2 linked regions of the Caenorhabditis elegans genome follow. Each later gene encodes a partner of the first gene's protein in a complex. Each region holds a gene or a part of one and is shown in the gene's direction. Other genes may lie near its edges.

The links.
Region 2: the proteins of hmp-2 (region 1) and hmp-1 are in contact, whole or in part, in a crystal structure (PDB 5XA5), measured with the Caenorhabditis elegans proteins. Residues at the interface, in NP_001252426.1 of Caenorhabditis elegans: Ser47, Ile48, Val49, Glu50, Met51, Met52, Gln53, Pro55, Thr56, Gln57, Gln58, Leu59, Lys60, Ser62, Val63, Met64, Asp65, Leu66, Leu67, Thr68, Tyr69, Glu70, Gly71, Ser72; in NP_505985.1 of Caenorhabditis elegans: Asn20, Val21, Gln24, Gln27, Leu28, Glu31, Val32, Ile35, Glu37, Thr38, Phe39, Pro40, Leu41, Lys42, Thr47, Leu50, Val51, Thr53, Leu54, Ala57, Val58, Asn60, Phe61, Thr64, Gly65, Ala68, Cys72, Leu85, Met99, Gly103.

Annotation. Positions count from the first base shown.
Region 1 is NC_003279.8:14,736,325-14,743,613, forward strand, and holds hmp-2 (Armadillo/beta-catenin-like repeat protein), read left to right. Parts: upstream 1-2,557; coding exon 2,558-2,613; intron 2,614-3,244; coding exon 3,245-3,306; intron 3,307-3,363; coding exon 3,364-4,026; intron 4,027-4,133; coding exon 4,134-4,298; intron 4,299-4,638; coding exon 4,639-5,630; intron 5,631-6,021; coding exon 6,022-6,198; 3' UTR 6,199-6,332; downstream 6,333-7,289. Other genes in the region: K05C4.4 (Leucine Rich repeat-containing domain protein), read left to right, coding at 1-91, 137-460; K05C4.7 (Armadillo repeat-containing protein 1), read left to right, coding at 1,379-1,471, 1,522-2,298; K05C4.5 (WD_REPEATS_REGION domain-containing protein), read left to right, coding at 6,441-6,553, 7,259-7,289. UniProt on the Caenorhabditis elegans protein: Required for cell migration during body enclosure and cell shape changes during body elongation. Plays a role in recruitment of the cadherin protein hmr-1 to adherens junctions.
Region 2 is NC_003283.11:11,844,285-11,852,900, forward strand, and holds hmp-1 (Vinculin), read left to right. Parts: upstream 1-1,592; 5' UTR 1,593-1,593; coding exon 1,594-1,977; intron 1,978-2,021; coding exon 2,022-2,477; intron 2,478-2,523; coding exon 2,524-2,727; intron 2,728-2,799; exon of another isoform or gene 2,800-3,022; intron 3,023-3,122; coding exon 3,123-3,653; intron 3,654-3,755; coding exon 3,756-4,583; intron 4,584-5,066; coding exon 5,067-5,207; coding exon of another isoform or gene 5,208-5,255; exon of another isoform or gene 5,256-5,504; coding exon of another isoform or gene 5,505-5,612; exon of another isoform or gene 5,613-6,496; coding exon 6,497-6,597; intron 6,598-7,338; coding exon 7,339-7,486; 3' UTR 7,487-7,881; downstream 7,882-8,616. UniProt on the Caenorhabditis elegans protein: Required for cell migration during body enclosure and cell shape changes during body elongation. Required for proper localization of other junctional components, such as pac-1.

The DNA of each region.
Region 1 (7,289 bases):
ATTGCTTGAAGTCCGCCCGGACACATTGGATGTGAGCGGATTCTGTTTTAATCTTGAAATCTTCCGATCGATCAATCTGGAAGGTATTAAGGTATGTCTTGGTTGATCAAATTTTGAAATTTGTTTTCTTTTCCAGAAATTCACTGCCCGGGACCATTGCTTGAACAGTCTCCGCAATTTTCCTTACCTGCCGAATTGCACAGTTCTCGGCCTTTCAAACAACAATATCAAGGAATGTACGAGAATTTTGGTTAAACAAGTTGTAAATGTGGAACATCTCGACCTGCGGAACAACTTTCTTACAATGAACTGCACATTTCCTTTGCTGTCGCTGAAATCGCTCACGCATCTGAAGCTGTCGGATAATTTTCGAGTTGCTTTTCGAGTTGCCTTTTCGAGTTGCATTTTCGAGTTGCCCGATCTTTTGCAACTTATTTTTTCAAAAGAATCCCGACGTTGAAGAGAATTGATGATAAACCGGAAAAGATGGCACCACTAGCTCTGGAAGAACATTTTGAAGATGAGGATAATAAACCTTCCAGCAGCACTTCCAGCAGCTTCTGGCGTCACATCAGTTATCAGGAGAGAAGCTTGAAACAAATGCAACCGAAGAAGACATGAAAATTTCCTTTTTTTTTACTGTTACAATACCTATTTCGTAAATTATATATATATATATATATATATCTCGTTATCTCTCCTTATATTATTTAATCCCAACATTGTATTCAGTTTCATTGGCTTAGCAAGTTTTCGATTGAAAATTTTTTTTTTCAGCCAAATACCGATTTTTCATATTTTTTTCGCATTTTTGATTGATGTTTCTGTGATTATTGGTTTTCCTATGTTGTTTTAAAAGGGTTTGTAATGTATCTTCGCTGAAATGTTTGTTTCATATTCAAAAACGGCAATGTTTCCACTTTCCCACTCGGTATCTTTTAGTTTTCAGGCTGCAGCTTCAAAAAATTGAAAATGGCGAAAATTTTAGGGTGGAATTTGTTTTCTTTTTTTTTTTCATATTTTACATAATACTATTTTCGTAATTTATTTTTTTCCCTCAAAATGTGCATGATGCGTTAAATTTTTTTTGGCATAGACTTCGCGTCCCAAATGGCGAGTAATAATTATTGAGAAGGAAAACTGTGTGCGAGCCCTTTGCAAAATGTGTGCGCACCACTTGCGGTATGCCTCATCGTGTGACTCCGCCCACATTTTCTTTTGTTTCCATTTTCTCTTTTCCCCTCAATTTATCGATTTTTATCCACTTTTTGTTTTTCACATTTAGAATTGAGTATTTCATCGCTATTCTGGTTGTTTGCGTTAAAGTTTGTCGTTCAAAATCGAAATTTTCGTTAAAAATCAAGGTTTTTATTTCAGAATGACTGAAGTCGTAAATGCCGACAAAATAAAAACGATTCGCGCGTACTACAAGCTGTGCCAAAAGCCGGAGAATCGAGCAGTCGTGCTTAAGGTAAGTCGTTAGCTCACTCAGGATTCACATGAAAATTAAATTTCTTCCAGGACAAAACATTTTTCCACACTCTCCCAACGCTCCTCAAGGACGAAAGCTCCGATGTCATCAGATACACGGTTAAAATCCTCGTTTTGCTCACAGAGCAGTCGGGGAACATCGAGCAACTGCTGAAATCCGCAGATTTACTTCCAGCATTGTCGGAAGCCTGCGAAAATATCACAAATCCCAGTGTCAACTATAACTTGGTCCTTGTCTCGAGTAGGATTCGAGTAGTGAAGAATTCGCTGGATGCCAAAAGAGCCGAGAAAGAGCCTCTAGCCGATGCGATCAAAGAGCTCGACAAGGGCGGAACTCTTCACCGAAAATTCGTTGGAAGAAAGTCAAAGCAGATTATTATGGAATTCGATGCGGAGGAATTCGATGAAACGAAGAAGCTGTCAGTTGAGAGAGGCCTTCTGAAGAAAAAAGGAGTAATCAGTGTATATATAACCGAGCAGAACTCAATTCCACGCGCCGTGCTCCGCACAATCCCGACAATCGAAGCCAAGGACATTGCGCAGTCCGTTTTCGCCGCCGCCGGATTCGAGTACGTCGCGCAGTTAGTGAAAGTGAACGGAATCGACGAGAAATTCGAGTTTTACGCGTCAGAGATGGGCAAAATCACGGAAAACTCGAAAGATTACCCCGAATATTTGGATGATGATGTGCTTCACGTGGATCCGGCAAGTTGTGTGATAACTAATGAGATGGCTGCCCATGGAAGTGGTCAAGAGGGCGGATGGTTCAGTTCGATCACTTCATTCGTCAAAACTTCCCTCTGGTGATGGAAGGAATTCTCGGATTATCTCGGAAAATCTCGAAAAAAAATGTATTAAAGTACTACGGTTTCTTCTTTGTTATCTCAATATTTTCTTTTTTCTCCTGTTTCTCGTTTTTTTTGAGATCTCTTTCTGGTATTATCACCGCACAGGCATATAAATCGTTTCACACTGGTTTTTAAATCCTCGTATTCTTGATTTTTATGTGTTTTTAAGCTGTTTTAACCAGCTCTAATTATCTATTCGGCAGTTTCAGATTCGAAAAATGCGATTATTCTCATATTTGGACGGTTGCGGTACCAAAAATAGAGGAATTTATCGGTATAAAATATCCTTAAAAATCCAAAGTCCTAGTGAAAATCTTGTTTTTGCGTTTTCATCTAGTTTCCGATTCGAAAAAACCCATTTTTCTAAATTTTCTACCTGAAACCACGTATTTTGACAGTTGCAACACCAAAAATAGAATAATTTTCCTTTAAAATCGCCACAGAAGCACAAATTCCAAGTGATAATCTTTATTTTGCGTTTTCAGCTAGTTTCCGATTCAAAAAATGCGATTTTTCTCGATTTTCTACCTGAAACCTCGTATTTTGACGATTGCAGTATCAAAATAGTGGAATGTTTTTCAAAATAGCCATAAAAGTAAAAATTCCTTTTTAGCTAGTATCTGATTCGAAAAATGCGATTATTCCTCAATTTTCAACTAGAAATCCTATTTTTTTTTAAATTTTCTACTCTAAATTTCGATTTTTCGCACTTTTCCACTCGAAATAAATTTATTAAATTTAAATTTAATTTTAAAAAAATCTTAGTTTTTGTGGATTTTTCCTGTTTAAAATGACTTTTCTCTGCTCCCACATGAAATTTGATAGTTTCAGCACCTAAAATATCGAATTTCTTTGCATTTTCTCGTCTAAAACTCACCATTTCCTTTAAAAAGTATAATTTTCAGTAGCTGTGAACTCCCAACAACCATGCTTCTTCACTCTACCAACTCTTATTCGATATTCACTGGTAAAACACAAAAAAATACAATTTTTTCGAAATTTCTTCATTTAAATTAATTTCCAGACCATGAAGTCGAAACTCGAACCTCTAGAATCCGCTCAGCGATGTTCCCCGACTGGATTCCACCAACTTCTGCTGCAGAAGCCACAAATTCAACTACAAGCATCGTCGAAATGATGCAAATGCCAACTCAACAGCTGAAGCAATCAGTTATGGATCTTCTAACCTACGAAGGATCAAACGATATGTCAGGACTCTCGCTTCCGGATCTAGTGAAGCTTATGTGCGATCATGATGAGTCAGTGGTTGCTAGAGCTGTTCATCGAGCTTATATGCTCTCAAGGGAAGATCCGAACTTCTTCAATGCGCCGGGATTCGATCATCGATCTTTTGTGGAAGCTCTGATGGCTGCGTCGAAGAGTTCCAACGTGAATGTCCGTCGGAATGCGATTGGAGCATTGTCTCACATGTCTGAGCAACGTGGAGGACCTCTTCTGATCTTCAGAAGCGGAGGGCTTGCTGAAATCATTCGAATGCTCTATGATTCACTGGAATCAGTTGTTCACTATGCTGTGACAACACTTCGGAACCTTCTGATGCATGTTTCTGATTCCAGAGCTCAAGCGAGAGCTCTCAACGCCGTTGAGGCGCTAACTCCGCACCTTCATAAGACGAATCCGAAGCTGCTGGCTCAAGTGGCGGATGGGTTGTATTTCCTGTTGATCGGTAAGGATTCACTGGAAAAATCAAGAATTTTGTACAAATTTGCATTTTTTAAAGCTATAAATTCAAATTTTCCACTCTAAAATTTCAAAAATCGGTCAATTTTGCAGACGATGCTCCATCGAAGATCACATTCCTATCACTGTTGGGACCACAGATCTTGGTTTCGATTCTTCGCGAGTACTCGGATCATCGGAAGCTCATCTATACCGTCGTCCGTTGCATTCGATCCCTGTCCGTTTGTCCGAGCAACAAACCGGCGTTGATCAGTCTTGGTACATGGATGTTTTGATTAAAAACTATTTTATATCGCATTTTTAGAGATATTTTCAGGTTTTTATCCACTGAAAAGCTGGAAATTTGAGATTTTTAGCTGAAAATACTTGAAATTCGCAGCTATTTCGAGTGTTTTGAAGCAATTTTTAAACATTTTCCTTTATCTTTCACGAAATTCCAACAAATTTCAAAATTTTTGTTCCGGTGGTTCAAAGTTTCGCTGAAACCTCCAATTTTACCCTCTTTCAGCAGGAAATTACTTTGAAATTGCGCGTTTTTTGAGAATTTTCCAATAAAAAAGTTCAGAAATTTAAACTTTTCAATATTAATTTTTTCTAGGCTGCCTTCCTGCTCTCTACGTGGAGCTCTGCACCGCAAAAGACGAGCGATCCCAGACGGCGATTCTAGTGGCGATGAGAAATCTGTCGGATTCTGCGACAAACGAGGAAAATCTCACTCAACTGATCATCAAGCTTCTCGAAATCATTCGTGTCGCCAACGATGGAATGACTGCCTGCGCGTGTGGAACATTGAGCAATCTCACCTGCAATAACACTAGAAACAAGCAAACCGTGTGTTCTCACGGGGGAATCGATGCTCTCGTCACCGCGATCCGCCGACTACCTGAAGTTGAAGAAGTCACCGAACCGGCTCTCTGTGCTCTTCGGCACTGTACTGCCAGGCACTCACTGGCTGAAGAAGCTCAAAGTGAGCTGAGATTCTGTCAAGCATTCCCAGTGATTTTGGATCAGCTGGAAACTCTTCGTACTCCAGTTATCAAGGCAGCTCTCGGAGTTATTAGAAATAGTGCACTTCTTCAAACAAATCTTATCGAGTTGACACAAGAACAAACTGCAAATGGGCATACAGCTGTGTCACTGACAATGGATATCTTGAGAAGAGCTATCACGGCGATTGAGGAGAATCCTGATATTGCTGTAGATGGAGTTCCAATGTGGGGAGTCATCGAAGGAGCTGTCTCGGCTCTTCATCAGCTCGCGAATCATCCGGCAGTCGCTGCAGCATGCTGTGATGATATTGGACAAGTCGGAAATCCAGAATGTCCACCATTCTTGGATCTTCTCCATCGTCTTCTGGCTCATCCGAGACTCGGATCCATGGATGATGAAGTTCTCGAACGCGAGATTCTTGGGCTTCTCTATCAGTTGAGCAAGCGGCCAGACGGAGCCCGTGCTGTTGAGAGTACTGGAGTTAGTGCTCTTTTAATGGAATCTCGTGGCTCACAGTACAAATCAGTCGTCACTTATGCGAATGGAGTGTTGAGTAATTTGAAGAGAGGAGATTCAGCTGCCATCATGAATATGTCTAATGTGAGGAATTAGGAAAAAAAATAAATTTTCCGTAAAAAAACCGAAAAATCGAAAGAAAACTTTTGAGCCACCACGGATTTAAGATATTGTGGGATTCCGGATCGTTGAAAAAATGTGTTCTATGTGTTGGCACGGTGATCCGGAAATGGTAGATCTAGAATCCCACCGGATCTTGAATCCGTGGGGCCTCAAAGTTTTTTAAAAATTCAATGTTTTAATGAAATATTGTCCATATGGACAAATGTTGATGAGAAAAACCATATAATTTTGTTCTAAAAACAAGGAAAATAGTTCAAATTTTCAGCTTTTTTTCGAAAAATAGAAAAAAAAATTTCAACATAAATTTCCGATTTTCGAGCGAGCCATTCATGAATTAATTCCGAATTTTCAGTCGTACGACTACGAGATGAGTGGAAGTGCTGCGGATTGGCAACGTGATGGGCTGGAACGAGAGCTTTTCGCTGAAATGTATCCGACAAACGACGGCGGACACTCGGAATCCATTAATATGGCGTTGAACAACTCACAAATGCGCCCTAATCACAATTGGTACGATACCGATTTGTAATTAATTTATCTTCTCGTATTTTTGCATTTTTTACACATAATCTGCTGAATATATCCACTGGGAATTATTATTCATGGTTTTAAATTTAATTTTTGATACTTTCAATATATTTATATTATAAATGTAATTTTATACTTCCTACTATCTAATGTTATACGTATCTTTTTTTTGGTTCTTCGGTTCCTTTTTCCTATATTTTTTCAAAAAAAAAATTTCAGACAATTTAAACGAAAAATTTCCAGATGAGTATCTGCCTTGAAAAGCAGAAAATCCGATGCGGAATGATAAGCCGGACGGCTCGACACATTGCCATCGATGAGAATAGTGGAAAAATGGCAATTGTGAGGAAATCTAGGTTTGTACGGAGGATTTATTGGAAAAAATGATTTTTGAAATTAAAAATTAAAGGTGGAGTAGAGTCAAAACAAATTTTTTGCTTAAAATGACAGAAAATATACCCAAATAACCGATTATAACTGAAAAAATGTTCTAAATTTTTTATGATTTTTCAATTTTTCAAAAATTGAATTCCCGCGAAAATAAGTGACGTAATTTGTTTATATTCTCGCGTTTTCTGGCTAAATTCTTTGGTTTTTCTTGATTTTTCTTACACATATTTAGTTTTAAACTCTGTTTCTCAAATTTTCAGGTACTTTTCCGTGAATAAAACTTGATAACCTTGGAGAAATTGGCGGAAATTTTCAAATTTGCCTAAAATTCCACAATTTAATAGTTATTTATATATTTTATTTGGAAAAGGGTTTCAAATTTTGAAAAACAGGGTTTAAATCAAATAAATCAAATATTGAACGAAAAATCAAGAAAAACCGAAAAATTCAGAAAACGCATCACTCATTTGCGCGGGAATTCAAATTTAATTTGGCCGTTTATTTGATTATTGAAGAATTGAAAAAAATCATTAAAAAATTTAGAACATTAAAAAAAAATTACAGTTATATTCGGTTAATAGGGTATATTTTCTGTCATTTGAAGCAAAAAAAAATTGACTCTACTTCCCCTAAAATCATCATAAATCAATACATATAACTAAATATTTCAGATCCTCGGAAACCCACGACTACATCGAATTC
Region 2 (8,616 bases), on another chromosome or scaffold:
AACAGTTACTAGATTTCCGTAAATTGTCTATGAAAGTTTAGACAGGAGAAACCTCTTAAAATTGGGACAAAATAGACTCTAAATCAAATTATTATTGAACATATTTTTACAATAGCACAGATCGTGTTGCAGTGATTAATAATGTTGTTGATATCATCTGAGAAAGTTCAGGTTCTCAGAAAAATGCAATCTCAAAAATGTACTTTCCCTGATTTTTCCTAGTTTTTTTTCTTTTTTTTCACTTCAGTTCACCCCCGCGATTCAAAGTTTACAAACAGCTGCTGCCGTGTACAAAACGTGATTCAGACTTCTCTATGACTCAGATTCCACTTTTTTGAAACGAGAAATTGTTTCGGTCGTATTCAAATTTAAATTTCAATACCCAATATAAGAATATGATGATGATGCATCAATTCACTGTCCTTCCATATCCCTCAGAATTATCCCTCGAAATCTCCGAATAAGACGTAGAAGACGTCAAAACAAAAGGGAAACTTTTTGTCCCTTTTCCATCATCTTCTCAATACTCCTTCCATAAAAGTCCTTTATTTCCGGGGCGCACACTCACACGCTGCTGCTGCAGTTGCCCCAACATAGGCCATACGTACCCAATTTTATAATCCATGGGAGTCGGGCAAACAAACTCAATTCGGTCATCTTCTCCATCTGTCGAGTCTCTGCTCATCCCGAAGGGAACCGTCCTGCTTCCGTCCGTCCCAATGTCTGTGTCTCTTCATCTCCATTGACCAGTGTCCTTGCCTCTTCGTCCTCTATTCCCGCCGCTCGTCCGTTCTTATACCCTTCTCTCCGCTCACTCGTCACCCGCTGACTGACCGACCGGCCAACCCGACTGAATCATCATTTCTTTATGTGTCTTCTTTCTCTCTATATTTAACAGTGTCTTCGTACACCGGTTGATGGTGCGGAATCATCGTTTTCACCATATTCACTTCTCACTCGCAAATACCTCAAAAGTTTGCTTTTTGTGACTTTTTGGCTTCGCAACTTTTTTATTTGAAAATTTTTGAGTGTGAAACATATATTCAACATGGCAAATAAAAACTAAGTTTCTTCATTTTCGGTCGAAATTTTAATTTTCGAATTTGTTTTTTTCTTAAATTTTATTTAAAAAATAGTTATTTCCTAAATTGCCGGCATGTGAAACATAATCCCCTATTAATTGTTTTGTTTTTTCGTTGAGTAAACACCCGAAAGGCCTCACAGGCCCCACCACACTTGTTTCTCGCTATTTTGCGAAAGGATTTTTTATTTTTTTCATTGAAAATTTAATTTTTAATTTTTGAAAAGTTAGAGTAAAGATTTTTATTTTATATGAGTCATTTTCTCAAAGAATAAGTAAATTCTGTGTTTGCCAATAAAGTTTAACGGTGACAGTACCCTCTTGGATCTCTTTGAGACCAACCACCCCTTCTTTATCGTGCGCCTTCAAATCTAACAGTAGTTCTAATCGATACTTTAATGTAAGGTTATGTATTTCTTTTTATATTTTTTGATTTCATCTCAATATAAATATTATTTCTCTTCGTTTTATTTGCATTCTAATCTGAATTTTCAATTTTATTAATTTTCAGAATGCCTGCGAATGGCAATTCTCATGCGTATTTCAACATCGACGAAGTGCGCTCGAAAAATGTTTTGAAACAAATTACTCAATTAATCAATGAAGTGACCAACATCACTGAAACGTTTCCGTTAAAACCTGGACAAACTACTGAAGGACTTGTCGCCACTCTTGATGCTGCCGTTGCTAATTTTCTTCAAACGGGAAGCTTTGCAATTTCGAAATGCCCAATTGCAAACAGTGATCCACGCGCAATTGATTTATTGCACGAAGCTCTTGGAGCAGTTCAAGATACTGGGCAAGTGATGATTCAAACTGGAAGAGATTTTGTCAGAGATTCAACTTCAACAAACAAACGAGCTATTGCAACGAATTCTGGTAGAAATTTGTTGACTGTAAGTTTTTAGGTACTCTTTTAACTGAAAAATGTTGTATTCAGGCTGTCGCTAAATTCCTAATTCTTGCCGACTCGATTGATGTAAAAGTGATAGTTGATAAAGTAGATGAAGTTCGAGAAACTGCACACCAAATGATTGAAGCGGATACAAAAATCAAAGTAGATGATTTGTACAATCTTCTCATTTCTCAAATCGAAGAACTTGATATCACTGTTCGACGACGAGCCATTGATTTGGTTAAACCAAATCAGAGAGATGATCTTCTAGCAGCAAGATCAGCACTTCGACAGACTGCACCACTTCTGTATACTTCAACACGAACATTTGTAAGACATCCAGAACATGAAGAAGCTCGAAGAAATCGTGATTACACTGCAGATGAAATGCATTCTGCTTTAAATGCTCTTGAATCTGTTTTAAACGGACAACAACCGAAAGTAACATTTTCTGAATATGGAAGAATAGGCGATCTTATCAATGAAATCGATACTTTTCAAGTGAGTTTAAAAATTTCAAATAATAAGACAAATAATTTATTTTAAGAATCGAATCGAAATTGATCCAGCCCATTATCGTCGAGGAACTGATCGTCCAGATCTTGAAGGACATTGTGAACGAATTGTTAGTGGTTCTGCTTCAATTGCCGATGCTGAAAGCACTCGTGAAAATCGAAAACAAAAAATTGTTGCTGAATGCAATAATTTGCGGCAAGCTCTTCAAGAACTTTTGACCGAATATGAAAAATCTGTAAGTTTTTTCTATTGATCTCTTGACTTGTTGCCTCGTTTAAAATAAAAAGAAATAAAAAACATTCAAAGAAGCGCATCTTTTTCACAAAAGGGCGATGGAGACGGTGAGAACAAACAAACAAACAATCGTGCGTTCTTTCAAGTGTGACGCCTTGTCCCTCAGGGCGAGAACAACTGTTTTTGTTTGTTAACCGAACTCGAACTAAAGCCGTTTTTTAGAAAAAAAAATGACCACCGCGAGTTCAGACATGGAAAATGTTTTTTTTAGAATTTCGGGGAAATTCTTTAAAAAATTTGTAGTAGTAGAAAATATAGAGACTACAAAGTTTTTACAATAAAATTTAAAGCTTATTACGACCTGTTTAACTATGTTTTAAATCTGTAATTTTTCAGACCGGCCGAAGAGATGATAATGATGATATTCCTCTTGGAATCGCAGAAGTACACAAAAGAACAAAAGATCTCCGGCGACACCTTCGTCGTGCAATTGTAGATCATATAAGTGATGCTTTCCTGGATACCCGTACACCGCTTATTTTACTGATAGAAGCTGCTAAAGAAGGCCATGAAGAGAATACAAGATATCGTTCAAAGATGTTCCAAGAGCATGCAAATGAAATTGTTTCAGTTGCTCGTCTTTCTTGTCAACTTTCATCAGATGTTGAAAGTGTTAGTGTCATTCAGCATACGGCTGCTCAACTTGAAAAACTTGCTCCACAAGTTGCTCAAGCTGCCATCTTACTTTGCCATCAACCTACTTCAAAAACTGCTCAAGAGAACATGGAAACCTATAAAAATGCTTGGTTTGACAAAGTGAGATTGTTAACGACTGCTCTTGACAATATCACTACTTTGGACGACTTTTTGGCTGTCAGTGAAGCACATATTGTTGAAGACTGTGAGCGGGGAATCAAAGGTATCACGGTAAGTATTTTAGTTCTCAAAATTTTAAATTTAATGAAAATTAACAAAAATAGTTTTCGCTAAATTCGTCAACTTTTGAGACGTTCAAACTGAATTTTCCAGGCAAACGCTTCAACACCGGATGAAAATGCGGCCAACTGTGAAACTGTCGACTGTGCTGCCGGATCGATACGTGGACGAGCTCTCCGAGTCTGTGACGTTGTCGATGCTGAAATGGACTTCCTTCAGAACTCTGAATACACTGAAACTGTTAAGCAAGCTGTTCGGATTTTGAAAACTCAACGTGTAGATCAATTCGCTGAGCGTGCGAGCGCTTTAGCCAACCGTCAAGAAGCACACGGACTTACATGGGATCCAAAAACAAAGGAAGAAGAAATGAATGAATTTATCAATGCTTGTACATTAGTTCACGATGCAGTTAAAGACATTCGACATGCACTTTTAATGAACCGAAGTATGAATGATGTTGATTCGGATGTAGAGTATGAAGCTGATGGTGTTGGTGCAGCAAATGCAGATGCTAATCGTACGATATCCGAACAAGAAAATCAACAGAATCTGATGAGACGATTGCCAGAAGAAGAGAAAAAGAAAATTCAAGCACAAATTGATATCTTCAAAGTAACACAAACACGATTCGAAAGAGAAGTTGCCAAGTGGGATGAAACAGGAAATGATATTATATCATTGGCCAATAATATGTGTAAGATTATGATGAGTATGACAGAATTCACAAGAGGTTGTGGGCCATTGAAAACGACAATGGATGTTATCCGAGCAGCACAAGAAATCTCACTTAATGGATCAAAACTAAATGCATTGGCACGGCAGATTGGAGAAGAAAGTGCTGATTCGCAGACGAAAAAGGATTTGCTCGCATATTTGTCACAAATCACTCTATATTGTCAGCAACTGAATATTTGTAGTAAGGTGAGTTTTTTTAATTGGTGCCACGAGCTGTAAAAGCGTACCAAATGTTTTTGGTCAATTGTTTGTTTCGGGGGTTTTTTAAATTTGTCAAATTAGTTTTTCAAGAAAATTGTAAAGATTCACAATTAAAAACGCGTCTATAAAAACTAAAACTGAAAAGAATCTCGTATTTTTCAGAATTATCTGAAAAGTTTTTGAAAAAATTGAGAATTAAAAAAAAAAACTTATAGATAGTGTGATATTTCACCAAAAGAGGTTTCAACTGTTTTTAACGATTTCAGTAGAGATATAATTTTACTTCGCGTTTTTTTTGCGAACCAAGCTCTAGACTGAAGCCATGAAAAATGAAAAAAAAATTGTGATTGGCCTCACTTATACTAGAAAATTGTTCATATACTTACTATAAATAAGTTTTGTTTAAATTGCTTTCAAAAAACCATGTGAAATATAACTTTAAACTTTTAATAGAAAGTAATATTTCAGGTGAAAGCTGATGTGACTCAAGTTGGAAATGAGCTTGTCGTATCTGCACTTGACTCTGCAATGTCTCTTATTCAAACGGCTCGAAATCTTTTAACTGCTGTTGTACAGACTGTTAAAGCTGCATACATTGCCAGTACCAAGGTTGGTTCCCTTTCTTTAAACAAAACATTAATTATTATTCCCACTTGATGTCTGATACTATTGCTTTCCAGCATTTATCACACATTTCTTTTTTCGTACAGACGATAACGGCTGCTTACGTAATTCATTTCAAATCAGATGGTATTTCGCCCACTCTTTTGAGTAGACACGTGGTTTAAAGTGCCAATAGACCAGTTGCCTTTTGTACACTGAATTTTGAGATTTTAGAAAGTGTACCCAAAAGTTTTAGAAAATTAAATAAATAAAATTAAAAAAAAAAAAAAACATTCTCAATAGTGTGCACAACGCGAACGTGCTCGAGTCGAATCAGCCGTTGCGCTTAGCGATGCTCACAAAGCTATTAATTATGAAAGTCCGATGGATGAATCTGGTGAGAAAAAATGAGAAAGCATTAAATATCGTGTTGTGTGGTTTTATCGATGTTGTTTTTGAGAAAAAGAGATATTGAGCATGTCGAATTTAATTTTTTGCTTTTTTCTCAAAATTTACGTTGGCTGCTGCGTAATTTAATGGTAAATATTTTTTATAGTTAAAAAAAGCTTATGTCTTGAGTTCAAATCAGTGGTTAAGACTATTAATGTTTGACGATTTTTTTTTAATGGAGTAGGGATTTTGCTTTAAAAAAATCCAGAATAGTTTGATTCTCAGAAATACCCAAAAAAGAGAAAGAATGAAATGTCGAATTTTCGAAAATCAGATTTTTCAATTTTTGGCGATTCCCTATTTGAATTCTCTCAGTTTGGTGCGAATTCAAACATGGAATTTAGCCAAAAATTAAAAGCAAAATCTCAGATTTTTATAGATTTCCTGAATCCTAGAAAATACAAATTAATTTTCATTATATTCCAAAAAAAAGAAAACAATTCCAGTTAAATATGTTAATTCAAATTGGTAAGGACATCCCTTTCTTATTTTCCCTTCACACTTAAAAATCGTTTTCCCAACAAAAAAACATTTAACTTTCTAAAAATGCATTGTATCGGTCTTGATGTGTGGACATCGATCCCCCAATATGTCGGTCTTGTGATCTTATACTCCCCCGTAAAAAACTCATACATTTTAAACTAGATTGTATTGCAACTTTAACTAAGAAAAGAAGATTAAGTTGAAAAAAAAACTTGAAAGAAATTGATACGAACGTAAAATATGTGTTATTGTTGATGAAAAGTGTCTCGATGTTGTTTGCTGTTGGTTTCATTTTCTTAAATTGCTCGAATGCTTGGAATTCTTTGCTGATAACTTCCTGAAACTCATCCTTATTCTTGCAGTTCCGTCGTCCTAATGCCAACAGTGTACGTGTCGAGTGGCGAATGGCTCCACCAAAGAAACAACCACTAATTCGACCACAAAAGAATAATGCTATAATCAGGTAACGTTTTCATCTATTTTTTTTGAATCAAGGATCCCTCTATAAGTGTTTCCTTTGCCTGCAAAAGGACATATGACACACTTCATTGAGAAGCCATGTGAAAAAAAGTAGTCGGTCCCTGAATAATTCATAAAAAATAGCACTGCCACCAGAAAATGGCACGTAGCTGCCATTGTCAGTAGTCCCAAGTCCCTTTTTTTGTGGTAAAAGTGGTGAAAGCCGAAAGAGCTGCGACACCAAAATGTATATTCTTGACTTGTTGAGCAAAAGTGTATCCCTTGAGGATCATAAATGCAAATTGAGTTTTCGGAAAGCAAAAAAAAAGCGACAATGTTCATAAAAAGTGATGAATAGTTGGATGATTTCGGACATTGAAATGAAAGTTTTAAAGCATCAAAAAACACAATTTTTCTTTTCTTTCAGAAAATTTTCCCCCCCTGAAAAAATTTTTGATAAGATTTCAGACATTTTTTAAACCTATTAAACTAAATTTTACGATTTTGAGATGCACCCCGTAAATCGACACAAGCGCTACAGTAGTCATTACAATAATTACTGTAGTTTTCGCTACGAGATATTTTGCTCGTCAAAAATATGTTGTGCAATACGCATACTCAGAAGTTGGTGTTCCCGTGATAGGTGATCACTAATTCTTGATCATTATCTATTCCATTACAGAAAATTAATTAGAATCCCCCTTTCAAAAGATGTATTCAACGAACGCCGACTAATGTTATAAAGAGTTTGCAGACGGGCATCCGAACGGCGACCTTTGCAACCAGCTAAAGTGCTCGCCGAGTTTACGCGTAACGAGATTGAGACGGGTCGTGATAGTGACGACGAGGAACTTGATCGCCGGCATCAACAAAGAATAAACGGTCGTTTATAGATAATTTATTTCAGTTTTATTCATGTATCTTCATACTTTTCCCTTCCAAATCTTTCCACACATCCTTTATATGCCCGAGTCTTTATTATTTTCTCATTCTTTCAATTCTCTTCAGCTAGAAATTTGTATCTGTGTATTTTTTGTATTCATTTCTGTTTAATGCTCTAAATTCTATCAGCTCATCACCGCCACCATTATCACCGCATTTTTCATTTTTCTCCCCCATGAATATCATAATCCATACTGTTGAAAATCAGGTAACTTTACATCTTTACAATTTATTTTCGCACTATCAACCTCACCCTTTCAACGATTTTTTCTGTATGATTCTGATTTCTAAACTCCCTGATCTATGTGCACAAGTTTTTCAAATTAGATGAACTCAATTCTTTCCTATTTTTATTATGTATATAGACATCAAAAAGGTCTCGTACATCTGGCACCGTCAAAATTGTTGTGCCTGAGCATTACGAGCAGCTGGTACTAAACGGAAGTGTGTGCAACAACTCTCCTTCCACCCTCGCCTCCTTCTTCATTTGTACTACGTTTTGCTTTTCCCCTTATTCTCTTCTCCTGGACTACTAGCAACAGAAAGGGAGGAGGACATAATTGTTTTTTTCTTCAAGAGAGACTTCCCAAATGGATATCCCCTACTATTTTCACACATTCCCATATTGCCACCCATGTTTTCGCTTCAAGACCCAATTTCAATTCCCTAATTTCCTGCGCATTTCCGTGTTTGCACACGCGGCGAGTTACTTTTTAATTTCCTGAAAGCTTACGCCTCCGGGTTTTCCGTTTTTTTTTTTGCTGCTGTTGCTGCAGAAAAATCCTGGAAATCGCGTGCCTAAAGTGTATGGAACGCTGCTTACAGAATTTCCAACGAGATTCTAGAATATTCAACTTATTTTTCTTTCGAGAGACAAAGTGATGGTGGTGACCCAAATACTAATTAGTACTATTTTGTACGCTCATCTTGCTCCAGCGTCCTTATTAGTCTCATTATTTTGGGGCGAAAGTTGGCTGGTTTTTTGTCTCTCGTCATTGTTTTGGATGACCATAGAACATCTTATTTAGAAACTTGTTAGTAGAACTACGTTACAAAGTACAGTAACTCTACAAATCTCCAA